Caenorhabditis elegans: one gene and its partners. The protein of the gene in region 2 interacts with the protein of the main gene of each other region in a pairwise test. Each region holds a gene or a part of one and is shown on either strand. Other genes may lie near its edges.

Evidence for each region.
Region 1: the proteins of marb-1 (region 2) and lsm-5 interact in a two-hybrid assay, tested with the Caenorhabditis elegans proteins (one large-scale study listed by BioGRID).
Region 3: the proteins of marb-1 (region 2) and apc-11 interact in a two-hybrid assay, tested with the Caenorhabditis elegans proteins (2 studies listed by BioGRID).
Region 4: the proteins of marb-1 (region 2) and smz-2 interact in a two-hybrid assay, tested with the Caenorhabditis elegans proteins (one large-scale study listed by BioGRID).

Annotation. Positions count from the first base shown.
Region 1 is NC_003283.11:15,568,720-15,571,159, forward strand, and holds lsm-5 (U6 snRNA-associated Sm-like protein LSm5), read left to right. Parts: upstream 1-1,660; coding exon 1,661-1,936; downstream 1,937-2,440. Other genes in the region: acs-2 (Medium-chain acyl-CoA ligase ACSF2, mitochondrial), read left to right, coding at 30-405, 638-754, 802-966.
Region 2 is NC_003282.8:12,207,650-12,210,732, reverse strand, and holds marb-1 (Isochorismatase domain-containing protein 1), read left to right. Parts: upstream 1-1,722; 5' UTR 1,723-1,725; coding exon 1,726-1,805; intron 1,806-1,862; coding exon 1,863-2,040; intron 2,041-2,091; coding exon 2,092-2,433; 3' UTR 2,434-2,545; downstream 2,546-3,083. Other genes in the region: F35G2.3 (uncharacterized protein), read right to left, coding at 1-145, 192-476, 939-1,025.
Region 3 is NC_003281.10:4,593,342-4,596,268, forward strand, and holds apc-11 (Anaphase-promoting complex subunit 11), read right to left. Parts: upstream 1,084-2,927; 5' UTR 1,082-1,083; coding exon 983-1,081; intron 939-982; coding exon 867-938; intron 818-866; coding exon 581-817; 3' UTR 522-580; downstream 1-521. Other genes in the region: erh-2 (Enhancer of rudimentary homolog 2), read left to right, coding at 36-160, 208-324; asb-1 (ATP synthase F(0) complex subunit B1, mitochondrial), read right to left, coding at 1,322-1,523, 1,645-1,843, 1,887-2,249, 2,292-2,357, 2,405-2,480.
Region 4 is NC_003279.8:6,872,103-6,875,780, reverse strand, and holds smz-2 (PDZ domain-containing protein), read left to right. Parts: upstream 1-2,023; 5' UTR 2,024-2,096; coding exon 2,097-2,225; intron 2,226-2,273; coding exon 2,274-2,537; intron 2,538-2,581; coding exon 2,582-3,013; 3' UTR 3,014-3,174; downstream 3,175-3,678. Other genes in the region: T21G5.1 (Tyrosine-protein kinase), read right to left, coding at 618-819, 880-1,136, 1,185-1,403; T21G5.12 (Lipoprotein), read right to left, coding at 3,663-3,678.

The DNA of each region.
Region 1 (2,440 bases), on a different chromosome or scaffold from region 2:
TCGAAATGCCATCTTACAGCTGAATTCAGATCCCCTCTAGTCACCATGTCGGAACTCCACGTGGATCCATTCGAGCGAATCAAGTCCGTCGGGTCAGTGATGCCACATCAAGAACTCGCCATTGTCGATGAATTTGGAGTCCCCGTGCCAACTGGAGCTAAAGGAGAGCTCTGGTCTCGTGGCTACTCGACTATGCTCGGCTACTGGGCCGACCACGACAAGACCAACTTGGCAATTACACGTGATCGCTGGTACAAATCTGGAGATACCGCCACGATGAACGAGGATGGAACTATCAATATTGTCGGTAGAACTCGTGACATGATTGTGAAGGGTGGTGAGAACGTCTATCCGACCGAAATCGAGCAGTTCTTGCATAAGTTGGACTATGTCGCTGATGCTCATGTAAGTTTGGGAGCTTCTATCTTTGCTCTTGGGGGTCCAATCAAAAAGTTTATTAAAATATCAAAAAGTTTATTAAAATAATCTACAGAAAATTCTCTACATTTACTCAGTTGGCAACTTTTTGATACTTGTAACAACTGGCGAGTTATTCTCGTTTAAATCAAGGGCACCATGACTACTTATGGCCTGAACTTCAAACTTATGGCCTAACTTTTCAACAAAAAAATTCCAGGTCGTCGGTGTGCCAGATGACAGGTACGGAGAGAACATCTGCGCCTGGGTGCGTCTTCGCGTTGAGGATGAAGGAAAGATCACCGCGGAGCACATTAAGAAGGCTTGTAAGAGAGGAGTAAGTTATTAATCCATTATTTTAAAATATACAGTCGAAATTTCCAGATGGCTCACTACAAGGTTCCAAAGTACGTGCTCATCAAAAAGGAGTCCGAATTCCCTCTCACAATTTCCGGAAAAGTCAAGAAATTCGAAATCCAAAAGATTTCCAAAGAGCTGTTGGGTCTCGGAACTGTCAAGTCTCACTTCACAGAAGCTGTCGACAATTAAAATCGGGTTGAACATATTTCCTATATTTTAAGTTGCCTTTTCGCTGGGATTTCCTTGCTTTTTACGGTCTAACCGCTATAATTGTAATAGTGACATATTTAACCGGGTTTTTATGTACTCTTCCGTGTATTTGCCATGTATTTAATTGTGAGACTTGTACAGAAATTGCGATTTTCTCTGAATAAATAGCTTTAAAATTCAAAATTCCCTCCAAAAGTGTACAACGACACTCCGAAATGACGCATAGTCGCCTTGCTTACCGTAAATCGACACACATTTTTTTAAAATCGAAAACATTTTTTTGTTGGATTTTCTTCGTTTTCCCTCGATTTTCTTGGAATTTTGTGAGTTTTTATTGTTAAAATATTTTAAAATTGCATTAATGGTATTGTTTTAACTGTATTTTTCATATGATTTTCGATTATTCCAGCAAAATTCTTGTAGAAACGACTTTTCATCAAAATTTTCTAAAATCGATTGGAAATTAACACGAATTTTACTGAAAATGAAATTTATGTGCAAATTACCGGTGAATTCAGCGAGAAAACATCAAAAATTCTGGAAAAATAGGCTTTGAAAAAATTTTTGTGAGGAAAAATTTTAAAAAAACTTGATAAATATCATCTTTTCCCCTCATTTTTCCTGTTTTTCAGCAATTCCTCTCAAATTTTACCCGATTTTCTTTCCAGAAACCATGGCAACCTCAACATCCACCAACCCAAACACACTTCTCCCACTGGAGCTCATTGACAAGTGCATCGGCTCGAAAATCTGGGTGATAATGAAGAACGACAAGGAGATCGTCGGCACTCTGACAGGCTTCGATGACTACGTGAACATGGTTCTGGAGGACGTCGTCGAATACGAGAACACCGCCGACGGCAAGCGAATGACCAAGTTGGACACGATTCTTCTCAACGGAAATCACATCACGATGCTCGTGCCGGGAGGAGAAGGACCAGAGATTTAATTGATATCTGTGAATATTGTGATTTTCTAATACTTTCTATTTTGCCACGAATCTCTCCGATTTTGAAATAAAAATTGAAGGAAATTTTGGAAAATTTTATAACAGGAACAAAACAGAATGAAGAAGCAAAAAGAAAACAATTTTTTTTAAATCTGTTTTTTCAGCATTTTTCTCTTTTTTTTCTTATCACTTAACAAGTACTTGTACATCTTGCAGGTCTTGTAGGATCATATTCAGCACGTGTTGAGAATAGATAGCAGCTTTCTGATGCTCTAAAAAGGCTTAATTGTTCAGATCGTCCCTGGAAATAATTTTTCGAATTCTGCTCGAGCTGAAAATACAAAAATAATCGCAGAATCGCCCAAAATACGTGAAAAAGTGAAAATACTTATCGTGTTTGATAGCAACCTTAATTTGTCCTGTTAAATGACAAAATTCTTAAGTTGAACTGTATTTATTTTAAGTTTTCTGCCAATTTTTTCCAAAAAATCAAAAAAGTTTCCC
Region 2 (3,083 bases):
TATTATTAACTTTAAAAAGACTTTTAATTTTATTATTTTCCTTATTTTCTTCTTCACTTCCTTGCAACGCACTCTTTAAGTCATTCTGGAAATTTGTTTTGTTGAACTCGATCTCGAATTTAAGCAGTTCAATCATTTCGTTTTTCTGAAATTATAGTTTTAAAATTTAATTCCATGTAAGAAATCCGAACCTCTTTAATAATCTTTCTGGCTTGTACCAAATCATCAACCAACTCATTTGCATCTTCCTCCGCAAATTCCAATGATTCCAGTTTTTGGCTCAATTCCTTTATCACCTCGTTTCGCTCTTTCAGTTTTCTCTGAAGTCCACCAATTTTTGCCACAAAATCTCTTTGATGCATTCGAATTTTGATTAAATGATTGCTGATTTTACTTCTCTCTATTTTCATCTCCTTCTGGTGCTCTTTAATCATTTCCTCACTAGACTCGCACATTAATTTTAGTTGGTAATGAGCCTGCAAACGTTGTATATAAAAAAGAATGTCAAGATGCCTGCCTACATGCCTGCCTACCACCTAGCTCTATACATTTTGGCATGCATTCAGGAATTTAGTGAACCTCTAGAAAGTAAAACTGGGAAAATTTCCAAAGAAAATTTAGTTAATTTTCACCAAATTTTCGAAAGTTTTTTTTTTTAAAGTCAAACATTTTCCAATAAAATATTTCGCATTTTTTTCAAAAAAAACACATTTTCCCAAAAAAAATTCGATCCGTTCTACTGTCTATTTTAAAATTTAATAAATCTTCTCAGCTTTAAACACCTCTTAATTTTTTATGAGGGGCTCCAATAAATAGCTTGAGGGGAACACGATTATTGGAATTTACTTTTGAAATTGAGAAATTTTCAGACTCTCGAGAATTTCATTGATAATGCTAATAAAATATTCAAAAATATAAAAAAAAACAACAAAATTTACCTTTGCCTTTTCCTCAACTATTTGCAACATTAACAGAGCTACAGTAACCGCGTACAGTAACCCGAATAGAATCGGGAAATTATCCATTGAAAGTGTCATATTCCCGTCTTGAAAGATATTAGTTAACCACGACATTATAAAATAAAAAGATTGTCTTATAAGATAAGTAACAAACGAATGAATGAGCCGGTCGTCTTAGTCAACGGGTCAAGTGTTTCAGCCGCGTTCGTGAATCAATAAGAGCTGGAATTGCCTCCTGGCATTAGTGACTGTAGTCCACACTTTCTACTGCCTAAATTATCCATACAGGGCAATGTGATCAATTGATCAATAGGTTATTAAATATAACTATTTTATGCAGTGCAGTGTTTCATCCTTTTGGGAAAATTCACGGAATCAACAGGTGAATTTATGTTTTTTAGGGTGTGAACACAAATTGTTAATGTTATAATTGTCCTGGAGAGCCTTTAAACATTTTACAATTAATATATTATAAATAATACGTAGAAAATCAGTATTTGAACAGGAAAGTAGACATTTTAAAAATTTGAAATTTGAAAAACCGCCACAAACTCAAGCAACGACACTCCGAGATTACGAATCGCGCGTTGTTTACCGTAAATTTACACTAATTTTTGTTCTCTGAAATTTTTTTTTAATTGAAAAGCCGTCCATTTATTTATCTTTTTTTGTCAAATCCTTGTGTTTTACGTGGATGTTTGCATTTGTTTTTTATTTATTTAATTTCGAATCACTCAACTTTTTATTGATTTCTGTTCCTCAGGTGATGGCTGCGCGTAAGCTGATCGCACGTATCAACCCAACGAACAGTGCTCTTTTCGTCTGTGATCTTCAAGAGAAGTTCGCGTAAGTTTTGAAAGAAACTAGTTTATGAGCAAAAATAATTTATTTAATTATTTTCAGGTCAAATATCAAATACTTCCCAGAAATCATTACAACTTCGCGTAGATTGATCGATGCTGCCAGAATCCTGAGTATTCCAACCATTGTTACTGAACAATATCCAAAGGGTCTCGGACACACAGTTCCAACTCTCAAAGAAGGTCTCGCCGAGAATACTCCGATCTTTGATAAGACGAAAGTAGATTTTCAGATTTTTGTTCATAATTCAGTCTTATTCCAAAAATTTCAGTTTTCCATGTGCATTCCTCCAACTGAAGACACTTTGAAGAAAGTTCAAAATGTGATCCTTGTCGGAATCGAAGCACACGTATGCGTTCTTCAAACTACATACGATCTTTTGGAACGTGGCTTGAACGTTCATGTCGTGGTGGACGCTGTCAGCAGCCGCAGTCACACTGATCGTCATTTCGCTTTCAAACAGATGGAACAAGCTGGAGCTATCTTGACAACTTCTGAAGCTACCATTCTCGGACTTGTCGGTGGATCGGATCATCCAAAGTTCAAGGAAGTTCAGAAGTTGATCCTTACTTCAGCCCCTGATACTGGCCTCGTCCCGTTGTCGAAGCTCTAAATGTTTTCCGTTTACGGCTTCTTTTTTTGCCATGTAGATTTGTGTTTAGTACCTCACTATGTGTAATTACAGCATTTAACCGGTTTTCGTCCCATAAATTATGGTGGTAATTTGAGTCTTTTTGCAAAACGTTTCTTTCATCGCATCTCCTTGCCACCGTTTGACCATCACATCATGTTTCAAAAGTGTGGGTAAACATTCCGAAATTCGCGGAAACGAAATGCGCTTTGAAAATTTCAAGTGGCTCACACAGTAGAGCCCGCTAGTCCATTGACCTCCAATGTTTGTAGTTTGCGAAAATGATGGTGACGATGGTGCAAAGAAAACTTTCAGTTTTTTTTTTCAGAAAAGTCAGGTTTGTACAACACACATGCCACCACGTGGCAATGAAAAAGGCAGAGGCAACAAATAAATTGGAAGCAGAGACAATAAAATGGGTGGGTGATCTGATCTGTTGTGACGAACAAAATGATGATGATTGGATTCGCGAGCTGTTGATGAAATATGCAGAAATGAATCGAGAAAAAGAGAAGAAAAATACCCAAATATTCAAACAGACAGACGAAAAAAATGTTTTCCTGATTCGAGGAACGTGTTTTCTAAGTGGAACGACGGCAAAATATGGGTTGGTCAGAACGAGAGAATGAAGA
Region 3 (2,927 bases), on a different chromosome or scaffold from region 2:
CCGTGAGAATTATTATGTTTAATGGAATTTTTCAGCTCTTTGCAAGATGTTTGAAGATTTCCTTTCCAAGAAATCAGCTGCTCCAGTCACATACGACGTGTCGCAAGTCTACGAGTTTCTCGATAAGCTCTCCGATGTTTCTATGATGATCTTCAATCGCGTATGTATTATTGATCTGCATATCCTCCCAAATCAATTCATTTTCAGGAAACCGGGCAATACATTGGTCGTACACGTGCATGGATCAAACAACAAGTCTACGAGATGATGCGTGGTCGTTGTCAGCATCCGGAAGGTGGAGAGAAAGTCATTGTTGGGTATTGATTACATTGGAAATATTATTCTCATCTCGCTCTGATCTTCATGTGCTCGCCGGTCTTTTATTTCTTCTTCCTTTTCAATGATTCTTGCTCAATTTACAATTCGATTTCAATTGCGATATTTTTATACTTTCTGATGAATTTCTCACTATGAATATTTCAATTTAAAAAGTCTTCGTTCTTGTTAATTTAAAATACAAATGAGGAAAACTGAGTATCATTTGACATGAAAAAATGGAAACACAAGATAAAAACGTAGATTACTCTACAATTGTCCAGTCTTGTCTGCAAAGCGGGCATTGAGCTCTTGGTTGGTTAGTTGGTGCTGCAATCCACTTATCGATGCAATGACGATGAAAAGCATGGCGACAAATTCCCAGAACCAATGGGCAATCATCTCCTGGAAACTTGCACATGTTGCACGCCGATTCAAATTCCATTCGACAAATTCCACAGGTATCTTCACCTCCTTGTAACCACTTCCACTCTCCACAAACCTGAAAAATGTCAAGTTTTTGAAACTTCAATTTTTTTTGACAAACTAACATGTAACTTTTTGACGGTAATGCTCATCCGAGTGTTGGTTTTTAATAGAATCCCTGGATGATCATCCTGCATCTGAAAACCGAAATATGATACGAATTATTTCTTATATGTCTTACAGTATGAAGTTCAGAACTGCTCATCGACATATTTTGTTGATCATCGTTTCCCTGTGATTCATCATTTTCCTGTTCGTCCATTTGAATTTGTTGCTCCATTTCTATCAAATGTGATATTTTATATTGACAATTAGATTCTGGCTCGTACGACGAAATCATTATATAGGTAGGATTGATAAATAAGGTTGAAACCTGTTCGATAATCACAATAACACGATTGAAAATTCAAAATTTTATGAGAAAGAAAACAACGCCACTATTATCATCACTGGTTTTATGTTGTGTGCGAGAATAATTTAACAAACGACAAAAACACTGAAAAAGGTGAAAGAGAGATCTTCAGACAGCAATACCCTTGAGTTGTTGAATGGCGTTTTGAAGGAATTTTTCCTGGAAGTCTTTCTGGGAGACTTGCTTCTCGACACTGTCATTGATCAACTTCAGCAATTGGTCGCGCTCAAATCTGGCCTTTGTCTCCTCGGTCTCTTTCAAATACTCGATGCGACGCTTGATCTCATTGGAAATGGTTTGAACATTCTTTCTGAAAAATAATTTTAAAATACAGAATAAAAAGGAGATTAGGAGATTATATTCAAGTAACAAAATTCGCGGTTTTTTTTTCAAAAAAACTGCGATAGAGCGCGTTTTATTGTTTAGCTCACCTATAAGCGGCCTCCAGCTGTAGCTGCATGGAATCCTTGAGAGAAGTTGGCATGCCTTCCTTGAGAGCAGCAAATGAAGCGGTTTGAGCGGCAGAGGTTTTGCGGAAATCAACAGCTTCCTTCAAATCTTCTTGAATAAGTCCTTTGAAGAAACCAACGCGTTCCTGATAGTCCTTGTAAAGACCAGCATCGATTTTATCTAAAAGAAAAAAAAAGTTATTTTTAAATGTTCAGTCACTAACAGCCGGCGGTTCTGGAAACCAAAAGATAGAAAAGAATCCATCCAACAGTCATATGTCCTTGCTCCTCAAACACCCACAACTCCTTGTTAACGAGGAAAGCAAAGAGTCCTCCGAAGAAAAGATATGGACCAGAGGTACCAGTAACCTTTTGGAATGCGGTAAACCACGAATCGGGCATCATCAAGAGACGAGTCTTTGGTGGGTACATTGGACGAGACGGGTATGGATAATTGGTCAAATCCCGATCTGGGTGCTCTTTGAAATCTTTTGGAACGGATGGAAGGAGTTCAGGAGCGGACCATTCTTTATTGCAGGCATCGAACATGGACTTTGGAGCTTCAGTCTCCGTCGGCAGTGGGATTCCTGTAAAAGAACTATAACAAAAAAAAACAATATAATGCTTACCTTTGAATCTATAAGCAATCTTCTCAAAATACCCGATGCTGTTATCTGATGATGGGGCGACAGCATCTGAAACAAAAAATTATATATGAGAAAATGCATTTAAATAAACTCACGTCCTGTTGCAGCTCCACGCGCAACGATAAAAACGCGAGAGAATGTCTGAGGAGATGACAAGCGACTCAACGACATCTGGAATTCAAAGAATTTTTGGGCGTTACTGAATATCTGTATACAGAGAATTCAAATAGAAAACTTTCAAGTTGTGCAAATTAACTATTTTTCTTATTGATTTGAAAGAAAAGAAGAAAAAAGAAAGATTGAAAATGGAAATATAAAACTAAACACAAAACGAGGCCGCGCAAGGTAACTCTGAGGGGTACTGTATTCGTTGCGAGACCCAGCGATCACCAGCGCCTATGCTCCTTTAAAATAATGTATTCGCGTTATGAAAATTCTACACTTAAAATCAACATAAAAAACTCGTAAAAACCCAATAAATAATAAAAGTATATTATTTTATTTGTAACACGAAAAAGTGATGATTTTTGGAGCAGAGTTTTGAGAAACAGATCAAAGGACCACTTTGAGAAAAAAAAGAAGAATAGACATGTCAATAATATAAATAAATTTCTGAAG
Region 4 (3,678 bases), on a different chromosome or scaffold from region 2:
ATCTTGGTTATTTGGTAAATTAGAAAGCGTTACAATTAGTTCTGTAGCCATGTAATTACAGATCAATTGGGTATCACTTTCAAAACAGCACAGTAGCTGAAACTTCAAAATAAAAAAAAATGTCAGCTCGGTTCATACTTGCAAAGCTTTTTTTAGTTGTATGAAAATGACTTTTCATTGTAATACTAGATATACTGAAATGAACATCAAAATATCTCGAACAACCCCAGAACACAATAACCAAAAAATTCAGAATGTTAAAATTCGTCAATGTCTGTGAATCAGCCTGAGAACTTGTACAATTTATGTGGATCATTACCCAGACGCGAAACTTTGAGGTTTTTGGGTACTTTGAGGGTAGAACTACAGTTCCCGGTCTCGACACGACAGTGTTTAAAAAATATTTGAACTTCCAACTTCTCGTAGCTGCGGAGTTTTCATAGTTGCAAATAATGATAAAAACTATTTAAAAAATCATTGAAAATATCGCAGCAATGAGAGTTTGAATTTGCAGTACTCTTGAAATTTCACATCTGTATAATATTGTAAAATGATATATCAAAAGAAGCAAACAATTGTTGAAACATTATTTTTTAGAGTATCACTCTAGACTAAACCTGTTTCAATTTCTTGACAGCACAATCCAGCACATATTCACTTGTTGGATCAACCATTCTTGCAAGAAAAACCTCTCCGAAGGCTCCAGATCCGATTTTTCGATACAAGATCACGTCCTCGTGTGGAATAATCCATGTTGCTCGGAGGACTGGTTTACGAAGATACACATTCCACTGAACGCATACTGGTTGCGCACGAGCACTGAAATATCTTACATAATTTAATTAATCATTAAATTAAAAAAAAAAAGAATAAACGTACAGATGGACATCAATCAAATCTAAAACAGTGTTTTCCTTGAGTGTTGGCATAAAATAAAACTGTTTTGCACCTTCTTTGTCTTGACTTATTGGAACATGAACAAATCCAGCTTCTCTTTTTACAGAAATTATCAGAAATTGTCCACCCGCATTTTCACGTGGTTCCGCTCTTCTCAGGAGATAATCACCTACGTAACGAAGTGACAACTCAGCATCGACACGTGGAATTATTCCATGGTAGAATTGACAGCCTTTAATCTAAACAAGAAATAAATGTTGATGTCTAGAAAAAAAATCCAAAAAAACCTCTGGAGTAATTTGAACGACTGGAACATCAACCATAGGCTCTTTCGGCTTCTCTTCTGGCGGTGGAGGTGTTCCAGGTGGATTTGCAGATTCTTTTGATCCTTCTCTTGATCCTCCAGTTGTTATTCCATTTCCAGGTAATACTTCTCTTACAACAACATCTTTTGATTGTTCTGTGTTTGGTGCTTTCATTGAAATTGCCTTCGTTGACATCTCCATTTTTCGATTTTTGATTCTGTTTTCTTTTGTTTGGCAGTTGAATCAATATTGTAAACCTTTTGAAAAGTTGAAAATAAATTGATTTTTGACTCAATTATCAGGTATTTTTGAACAAATTTATTTGTTTCTTTTCTTTTAAATTGGGGTTACGTTAATATTTAAATTTGTTTCTTTTCTATTTCCGAGTAAAACGTTTATTTTAAGTTTAATAAATGGAAAACCTATCATAATTACAATTTCAAACCAAAATGCTGTTTCCTACAAGTTTTATATCTTTGTTATGATTTAGTTATTTTATTTAAATATTTTATTCCCCAAAAACAATCAATATACCAAGACTGAAAAATTTCAAAAATCTAAAGAGATTTTGAGTATTTACTCTATTAGGCCATGTTTATAAGTTAGGTAACTGAAATTTTAAGCAAAAGACGCAATCCAATTTCGCTTTTTGGAAGGTCAAATTTTGTTTGACAAGTTTCGCAAATAAACTCGTAAAAATTTTCCAATTTAAAATATTTTCTCGAACTTAAACTCTATATTTATACGTAACATGTCCCCAAGACCTTATTTTTTATGTCCAAGTATTTCAGTATAAAACGTCCAATTCTCGCCACTCTCAATCAAATTTCGCAAGAAATCGAATCAATCGCCTTTTGAATCGGCAAAGCAGCAAAGAAGAAAAGGAACAGAAGAATGGGTTCCGAGAAGATGATCGAGATTTGTATCGACATGGAGGAAGGAGAACCACTTGGTGCAACTCCAAATGACAAGCTCGTTATCACTAAGATTCAGGCTGGAACCATTTCTGAAGGAAAATTGAGAGTGAGTTTTTGAAATGTTCAAATCTTTTTTATACAGAATGATTTACAGATTGGTGACCAAGTTAAAAAAGTGAACGGACAAAATTGCAAGGATTGTAACGACTTTTTCCGTGCGCTTCGCTTTGCTGCTCCATGTGCAAAAATCACGGTGAACCGTGACGAAAAAAAGGCTGAAGAGTTAGAAGCTCGTGTTCATATTCCTGAGGATCGTGCAAAGATCATTCAACGCCGTGAGGGATACGTTTATGAGTTGGCAACCCTTGTCTGGGTTCAAAATGGACCAAAACTTGGTTTGGGAATCAAGCATTTCCAGGTAAGAAATTAAAAGATTGGAGGAAGTTCATATGTCTATTTTAGAACCGTGTGCTTGTTTCACGTGTTGATCCTGGATCACTAGCCGAGAAGTGTCTTGTTCTTGGAGATCATTTGTGTGATGTTGATGGAATTCCAGTCAGTGACAAGGATGTTGCCAGAGATCTTCTCGTCAAGAATATCCAAGAGAAAGGAAAAGTCACTTTTGTCGTCGAGCGCCCTGATTCGATCGATGCCAAGCAATGGGCGAAACAGGCGTTGGCTACCAATCTCATGCAACCACCATCAGTCCAAATGAACGAAGATGTGAAAGGCATTGCTTCGCAATATCGTCAAGCTCTTCCAGGACTGAAGCCTCCAGCGAAGAGTGCAATGTCTACCGGTCCAAATGCTCGCCGTGTTTCTATCATCGAGCAAACTCAAACTCACGAGATCGGACATGATCATGAAGGAAAAGCTCTTCGCAAGGTCAAGTGATGATAAGAATTCAGCAAGATGTCATGAATAGCACTGTCTAGATTGAATAAAAATGTTTTGATATTTGTTTTGTAAGGTTTATGAATCAAAGTTCTCCTGAAGTGTTATGTGCCCATTGGAGTCATCTTAACTTTTTAGAGACAAAACTTCTTATAAACTTTTTATACTTTGTATGTTGTTTCCTTGGACTATTACTGGCTTCCTTTTAATTGAAACTGGGTAAATTTACCAGCTACCACAATTTTAGAATTGTTACAATTTAGAATTGATTTTCGAAACGAAGGCAATGATAGGGGTATTGCTCCTTTGTAGAACATATTTGGTGTATGTTCTAAGGAGAGATACTTTTTTTTACTTTTTCAAAAATCACGGTAGCCGTTTTGTTGCAAATTTTGAGTTCTTTCAGATTTCAAAAAATCTACCAATTGTGTTCTAACAACTAAAACTTTTAAACTTTATCTAAAAAAAATAGAGGGCCCGGGCCTCGGGGATGGAGGTAATTTATAAATTTCTGAAGATGGAAGAACCTGCAAAACACGGATATAACAGTGACTAAGAAAACGATGATATGTAATTGGAAGTTTAAATATGACGGTAAAATGAATTCAACATTGAATCAATGAAAGAAAACAATTTATTTTTGAGAAATCTAATTTTTATTCTCT